2 linked regions of the Stegostoma tigrinum genome follow. The protein of the gene in region 1 purifies or fractionates together with the protein of each later gene. This does not show direct contact. Links are inferred from orthologs where the notes say so. Each region holds a gene or a part of one and is shown on either strand. Other genes may lie near its edges. The genes, in order: retreg3 and receptor expression-enhancing protein 1-like.

What was found.
Region 2: the proteins of retreg3 (region 1) and receptor expression-enhancing protein 1-like purify together in Homo sapiens (affinity purification with mass spectrometry; 3 studies listed by BioGRID and IntAct, with this or other methods). This does not show direct contact. The link is inferred for Stegostoma tigrinum from reciprocal best matches to the Homo sapiens genes RETREG3 and REEP4.

Annotation. Positions count from the first base shown.
Region 1 is NC_081384.1:200,730-204,649, reverse strand, and holds the start of retreg3 (reticulophagy regulator 3), read left to right. Parts: upstream 1-1,375; 5' UTR 1,376-1,501; exon of another isoform or gene 1,502-1,651; 5' UTR 1,652-1,667; coding exon 1,668-1,882; exon of another isoform or gene 1,883-1,890; intron 1,891-3,920. Other genes in the region: tubg1 (tubulin gamma-1 chain), read right to left, coding at 1,292-1,367. UniProt on the Homo sapiens protein: Endoplasmic reticulum (ER)-anchored autophagy regulator which exists in an inactive state under basal conditions but is activated following cellular stress.
Region 2 is NC_081393.1:8,318,093-8,322,012, forward strand, and holds the start of receptor expression-enhancing protein 1-like, read right to left. Parts: upstream 3,019-3,920; 5' UTR 2,543-3,018; coding exon 2,511-2,542; intron 1-2,510. UniProt on the Homo sapiens protein: Microtubule-binding protein required to ensure proper cell division and nuclear envelope reassembly by sequestering the endoplasmic reticulum away from chromosomes during mitosis.

The sequences.
Region 1 (3,920 bases):
ACTGTGCAATTTAGACTATATTGTCTCACCTTATCTCTTTTCAAAGTGTGTCACCTTATATTTCCTTGGTATTAAATTTCATTAGACTACTCAGCCCACTGTCCTAGCCTACATCCTTTTCCAGTTAACTGGTACCATCCTCACTGTCAATCACACCTCCAAGTTGGTATCATCAGCAAATATCAAAATGTTACTCTGTATTCCAATGTAGAAGACATTTAATGTAAATCGTGGCATGCAGATTAACCCAACATGTACGACTATTTTTTTGTCACCAAAATGCATGTTCAGGACTATATTTAACACATAAATCAACATCTATTTTGAGCTCATACACATTAAAGGCTATTCTCCATGCATGGAACCAGGCAAGTAATATGCGTCATGTTGCCAAGATGGTGCATGGAAACTTAAATTATGCCCAAACGATGCATACCACACATGGTGATCAAATTAATGGAAAAGGTTCCCACTTGCAAAAGAACAAAGCAGTTTTAAAGGTGAATGTAGATGTTGCAGCATTGCAACTACCCAAACTTGTGGAAATTTGATATGTCCTGGCCAGAAAACCCAGGAAACACTCCAACCTGGTCAAGTAGTCTCCATCATCAGCAAAGTGATGGAAGGGGTCACAAACTATTGACTTAACTCGAATGTATCAGTTACAAAAGCTACTTCATCTCTAGAAGAAATTATCTGCTCTGTCAACCAGCTTCAAATATTTGTCATTTCTAGACTCATTTATTTCAATGTCCCACATTTCCCTTCATTCGAAATAGCAATATCTTGTCCGTTTTCCCGTTGTTCTGGCTGTCCCTTGATCTAGCTGAATCCGACCGCCTTTCCATTTGGTTCACTACATTTCAATTTGTTATCCAAACCCAATCACTTGCACCAACCTTTTCTAACTGCTTGAAACCTCTGAAAGACAGACACAGTGCTCTTGTCCTAAATCCGTCTCACACATAAAGGCTGCTGTTGAGTTTTAGAATAGATACTCCGAGTAGAAAGGGTTTGTATCGAGTCCGGGGGGATGGTATACCACAGATATTGACAACGTCGGTGGGCAGTTGTTGGATTCTGCCAGGCTCCGCTTCACGACGAACCCTGACTGACAACAACTCGACGGCGGGTAGTGGGTGACCACCAGGGCCTTATCCCAGGCCCGAACCGGACTCACACTATTCTCCTGCACACCAGGACTAAAGGCGACACAAAACACCCAGTAACTAAGTGGCTCGCCCACCACGTTACCATTCACGGTCCCAATCCCCGCCGGCCCCTGCCTTACTTTGGTTGCCACACTGGCCGAGCTGCAAAGTGATAATTTCCCGAGGCATCGCCGCCGCTCGTCCCGCCAACTGCATAGAGCATGCGCAGAGTAACACCCGCGGTCCGTTTATAGCGTATTGTCAAACCGATCCCATTCTCGTTTATCCGAATGTCAGCTCAGATTCATCTCGATTTTATACAGCTTACTCAGCAAAGTAAACCGGGACGTGTGTGTATTTACAACTTTCTGAACCAGTGTTTTCGGGCTTCACGAGCCGATTCGATGCTTATTTAATTTTTTTCAATGATATAACCATGGATAATTAATATTCATATGTTTCTGTCAATATTCATGAAGACTATTAATATTCACATTCAGACAGAGCGTCACCAAGATGGCGGCTGAGCGAGCGAGTGCGGGGCCTGAGGGCAGCGATCGGGAATCAGCCCCGGCCCCACAACCCGAGTCTGAGCACCGGCTCCGGCAGCAGCAGCTTCTCCGCATTCTGGGTCATTACGAGCCCGTGTTGACTTATTGGCAGAGTGTGTTGGTGTGGGAGAGGCCGCTGCACAGCCTGTTTCTATACCTGAGCGTCAACGCCAGTTTCTGGTAAGGGCGGGGGGAGGTGGGTAGGCCTGTGTTGTTGATTGGAAAAGGGATTCTATCGGCCATCGGCCCCTCTCTCTGCCGCCGAAAAACACAGGGACCAACACCTTAGTGTCAAAGGCAGAAGTTTTCACAGCGCAGAAAGAGCACCCCCCCCCCCCCCCCCCGTGGCCTTGCCGATCATCCAACGCTCATCAATTCTAATCCGACTTGCCAGCATTTAGCCGGTAACCTTGAATTTTATGGCGTTTCAAGGGTTCATGTAAATTGTTATTAAAAAATCTTGGAGGTTCCTGCTTATACCATTCTTTTAGCAGTGAGTTCCACATACCACACTCAAGGTGAAAAAAAAATCAGAAGTCCCCTCGAAAATGCCTTAAAAATTGTTGAGTTGTTGTTGTTAAAAAGTGTTTCCTGGCTATTGGACACTGCCACGGTGAAAGACTTCTCCCTGTCTTGTTAGTCTTCCCAAAATGCATCACCTCCCTTTTCCAGATTAACTTCCCTTTGCCAATTTCAATCCATTTGACCAGCCCATCTATATTGAGTTATATTCTAAGGCTTCTCGCCTTGCTATTTAGTGCTAGCCTAAGAGTAAAACCAGAAAATGGTGAAAATAGTCAGCAAATCAGGCAGTGTTTGTAATTAAGAAATTGGCATTAAATGTGTTGGGTCACCACTGTTTGAAAAAACATTGTATTTGCAGCGATTTACTCTGACATAATTTGTGTTTTGCATTGTTTCCACATAACCATCCTGCTCTGGATTCTGAGTACCCACAAGAAAGCGTACTTGGGACACCTGCTTCACAAGTTTATCTACCTGTCACATTACCTTATGCACGCCAAGCTCTCTCCGTTCCTCTACATTGCTTAGAATAATTTCTTTTGTTGTGTTTTTCCTTGGTTTTCTTCCTTCCTAAATGCATAATCTCATCTACATTCTATTTGCCACTTTTCTGTAATATCTCTTACCTATTTCTTCACTGTCAACAATTTGTACAATCTATAAACTACTCCACTTAGGCCTTTAAATCATTAATATGTATCGCAAAAGTATTCTGAACTGTGAGGGGAAATAATGATGGACTTCAATAAAATTTAGGGGCAGATATGCAACAGATTAAATTTGATGTAGTGAAAGATGCAGTGATATGTTTTGATAGCGATAATGAGGATAGGTAATATTATTTTAAATAATGTAGTTCTAAAGGAGGAAGATGACTAACCAAGGAAATTAAGGAGAGTATTAAGTTAAAAGAAAAAGCATGCAAGGTGGTAAAAGTCAATGATCATTCCAAAGCCTAGGATAAACTCAGAATCCAACAAAAAAGGACTTAAAAAAAATAGAGAGGAAATAAACTATGAGGGCAAAGTAGCGAGGAATAAGAGCAGAGATCTAGGGTTGATTATTTCAATAACATCAATGAACAACTTTAATGCTCAGCTGATTAAAGGGGCACTAACAAAAATCATAATTTGAAAGGAAACTTGTTATGATACAGTAACATGTTGGAGGTTGGTGACGTACACCAGCTGCTCCAGCACACACCTGTAAGAACTGGGGTACATGTGTGCACATCATTAAATGTACATTGCAGTTTGAGAAAGTTGTTACAAAGACATAAGGATCCTGGTACTATAAATATTGGGGTCAACCTGAAATCCTTAATCTGTTTCTCTAAGTGGATGTTTATAGTGTTCTTAGAAAATAATTAATCTGCTTTATCTTTACAAGCCAGTAGCTAGCAGAAAACATCAGTCTCTTGTTTTAATTTTTGAAACAAGCTGCTGTTCAAAGTTAAATTCTCAACGGCAACTTTCAGATCCAATCCAGAAATGAGAAAAATATGATTGTTTCAAGAGTCTGTTATCTTAAGACGATTAATAACACCTCTATGCTCTTTTTTTTCTGCTGAGAAACTCGTTCTCTGAAAAACTTAAGGACCTTTGGCCCCATGGATTCTGAACTGGCTTGCCCGTAGAAGGCAGAGGGTAGTGGTGAAAGGGTGCTTTTCAGCCTGGAGGTCCATGACCAGTGG
Region 2 (3,920 bases), on another chromosome or scaffold:
ACCTCAAATAAGTGTTAACAATGACGCTTGCTGTTAATTGGCTTCGTCATTTGAAGCATACTTCTCTCAACGCTCTCCAAATGAGTGTTCAAAACTGCTGTCCCTTCTGGGTTTGATCATTTCTACCCTCTGGTAACTGTTGACTGGAGGAGCAGATTCACGTTCTCTCATTTCTCCAATGACTTCTATCACCAGTGCAAATGTTTTAAGCTCAGCATGTGCATGAGCAAACACGCATCATGTTAAGCATATAATTATCTTGCTGGGTGGTGTTCCACATTTGGAATGAGCAAACTATTTAAACTGCCTCACAAGATTTTAGGTAAATAAGATAACATAGTGCATACTAAATGGTTGCTGTGTGTTTGCAGTTTAGAGCTCTGTCTATCCTATATCATTGTTGTGGGAATGCTGTTAAATGAACAGCCATGCTTACCTGTATTTGTTGACAGAAGAATTGTTTGTCTTGCAATCACATTCAGGGGTTGAATGCTGACAAGCTGAAAACAGCAACGCTCCACCTGCTGTCAACCCAACACCCAACATTGTGCAGGAAAGGGGATAGGCAAGTCAGCTCACTGTAGTACAGTGTCCCCTCAGTTGAGTCAGTTAAGAATGGCTTGAGTCCACACAATTGTTGATCATGTACTTCACAATGTGTTTAAAATTACTGTTTGACACGAGCAAGGCTCCAAATACGGTGGTGATTCTGTGTGCACAAATATGAATGAGACTAACAGAATCATATACCCTAGCATGTTGATCCAAAGTGGTGGTGGTGGTTGTTTCATGAGAATGACCCTGCCTCAGACAAGGTAAAGAAATTAAAGAAAATCCTTTACAGTACCCTAAGCCCACACAGGAAGTTAACTCACTCTGCATTACTGTAGGATTCTACAATTCAATCATTAAATTCAGAAAAACTTCAAGTAAATGGCAGCCACAAAAATCTGCAGTACATGCCAGCTAAATTTGTATCTAACTCAGCTTTCTCAAGTTTTGAACAAAAACAAATTCCTGGAAGCTCAGCAGATTGAGCAGCATCTGAGACGAGAATTCTGATGAAGCGTCACCGGACCCAAAACACGAACTCTGATTTTTCTTCACAGATGCTGCCCAACCTGCTGCACTTCCAGCAACTTCTGCTTTAGCTCCCCATTGACAGCATCCACAGCACTTTTCTTTCCTTCACGTTTTCCTTAAAAATGCCACAATGCAGCCACAACTCGTGGGTCAGCACACATCATTTCACTTAAAAACGAGAACCTCGGGGGACTGAATGGGTAGTTTTTAGTAAGCGGTCACAATTTATAACACAAAATCCTGTCATTGTCCCCAACCCAACTCCTTTAAAAAACAAAAGCCTTACTGGGTCAAGGTGGCTGTAGTGTGACTCACACCACAGGATCCCAGGGCTGGCACTGAAGAGTATTGCCAAAACAAAAAAAAAATCAGACCATCAATGAATCAAGTCACAGATCAACGTGACTTAGATTCAGGCTACAGGAGCAGGACATACAAGTCATTTGACGAGTCACGCAGAACACTGGACTTCAGAGCAAAACGCTGATGTACCTTCACTGCAAGTGTCTTGGGATGATAGTTCATTAGAAACTAAGAAGTGATTAACAAGGGGCAGAAAACCACAAAGGTGAAAGGGAAAATTTTGTTTTTTTACAAATCATCTGTGTACTCAACTAATTGAGAGCAAAGTGGAAAACTGAAGTGAATACACCTTAACCATGGGAAAGCACAGGCTGCAAAGAGTTCAGCCCTATAGGAGAAACGGGATGTATTAAAAAAGGCGATTTAACAAAGGCTCGGTTCCAATTTGTTGGAGACACTCCAACAGGCACTCATCGCCACCTCGTGATCCCAAGCAACTGAACGTGTAACCCACCCCTTCATCATGTTTCGCAAAGCTGAAAACCGTCACAGATGGTCAACTGCTCTAAACCGAAACAGTCAAATTCAAGGAGGAAGGCCACCAAAGACGGCTTTCTAATTCGCCTTGGTGACAAGTGTGAAGATTCCAAAAGGAAGTGAACAACCTTTTCGTGTTTTTTTAAAAAAAAATGTATACAAGTAAGGTGGGAATAAAACGTCTCGAGATCTCGTCAACGACTGCAACACCTCCGCAGCTACAAGCCAAAATTTCAAACGGACGTGTACGCAAAACAAAAGTTGTGGAATTCACGACAACGAGGGAGTCGGGAACGCCAGGTGGCTGTTAGGAGTGGGGGGTGGTGGGGAGAGAAGAAAGCAAACGCAGACAAACAAAGAAAGGCAGGCAGAGATAGAAGGAACTGCTGGAGAATCGGAGATAAGTTGCAGAGAGTGGATGAACGCAGCAGGCCAAGGAGCATCAGGGGGTGCAGGAAAGCTGACGTTCCGCGCCTAGACCCTTCCTCAGGGTCCATGCTCCTCTGATGCTGCTTAGCCTGCTGTGTTCATCCAGCTCTACACCTCAATCTAAGGAAAGCAGACGGGGTGGGGGGAATCCGACTTACACGATCAGCCTGGAGATGAGCCACGACACCATGTTAGGAAGCTCGCCAGCGACGGTTGAAATATATATATATTATATTCAAAAGTCAACGCCGACCGTTGGTGAGCGGCACGCGCAGCTCCCGGGGATTCCAGAACCGTCCGAGTGCCCCTTCGCGAGCCGTGTTACCGTGCACTGAGGGGGGGGGGGGGGGGGAGGAGCAGCAGCACCACGCCGAGCCTGACTGCTCCTATCCGGTTCGGTTTCTCACACAGAGGGAAGGTCGGCACCTGTCAGCACTTGCCCGGTTGGTGCTCTGGTTTGAATTTGCTCTCGGTGACGCCTTGTTTTCCCCCGCCCCGCCACACACACACACCCCCGGGGGGGCGGGTTCACTTTGATCTCGCGCGGCGCTGTGGGCGGGGAACAAAAGGTAAGCGAGCGAAATGGCCCCTCTTCTGTAATTTTCCGTTCTCCCGAACCTTTCCTTTTTAAACATGAATAGGGAAAGTAGTCACGTCCGTGCTTCTGCCTCACCTCCCGTAGGTAACAGGCGGTCTCTTAGAGTCCGCTTTTGTTCAACTCCGGGGCGGGGCACGCAAGCAAGCGGCGGTTTGCGCGTGCGTACCCTGCTCCTCGTTAGCCCTGGCGGGGTCCCATCAGCTCCCTGCCACCAAGGTCCGCTCGACGTTGGCGCTCCTTGTGGCTTTCTGGGGTGGGTGGGGATGCCTCTGCGCCTGCGCTTGTGACCTGCCGGTCGGTGTTGTTACGTAAGCACAAGTGAGTATTGACGTGGCTCGAGGAGTTGAATGGCCGTGGTGATGCCGGGGGACCTGATCTCAGCGACTGTTTTTCACTGGCATAAGGCAACGAAAAGTGGAAGAACTGGGGCAGTCTTTTGCGCTCATCTGAATCGGAGAAATGGTCCAAACATTGGAAGAGGCCATTCAGCCCCTTATCTGCATTGGCCTTTCCAAGGCAAGCACCCACTTAGCGTCTGATCCACCCAGTTGGTGCTGTTTACACGAGCCTCATCCACAAAGCCGGATGCATTTTGCCGTTTGGCACAATATTCCAGTTCCTGCCAGCTGAGGAACTAAAACATTATGCTTAAGGATCAACTTTCAGGGGTAGTGATATACCAAGTTTACTCGGTATCCAGAGGCCTACGATGATGCTCTCATGACAAGCATTCAAAGCCTCTGACTAGCTTGTGGAATTAAAATCATTCAAAAATGTGTGGAATTTAAATCTAATCTCAAATGACGGTGACCATTATCATAAAGACTTTTTACAGTGCAAGAAGAAGCCTTTCGTATCCATGCTGGTCATGAAATAACCATTGACTCATCTTAATAGTTCTTAAATGTCTTTAGGATTCTAGCTCCACCAGTACGGTTCAGTTGCCCTCAACTCTCTGGGTAAAAAACTG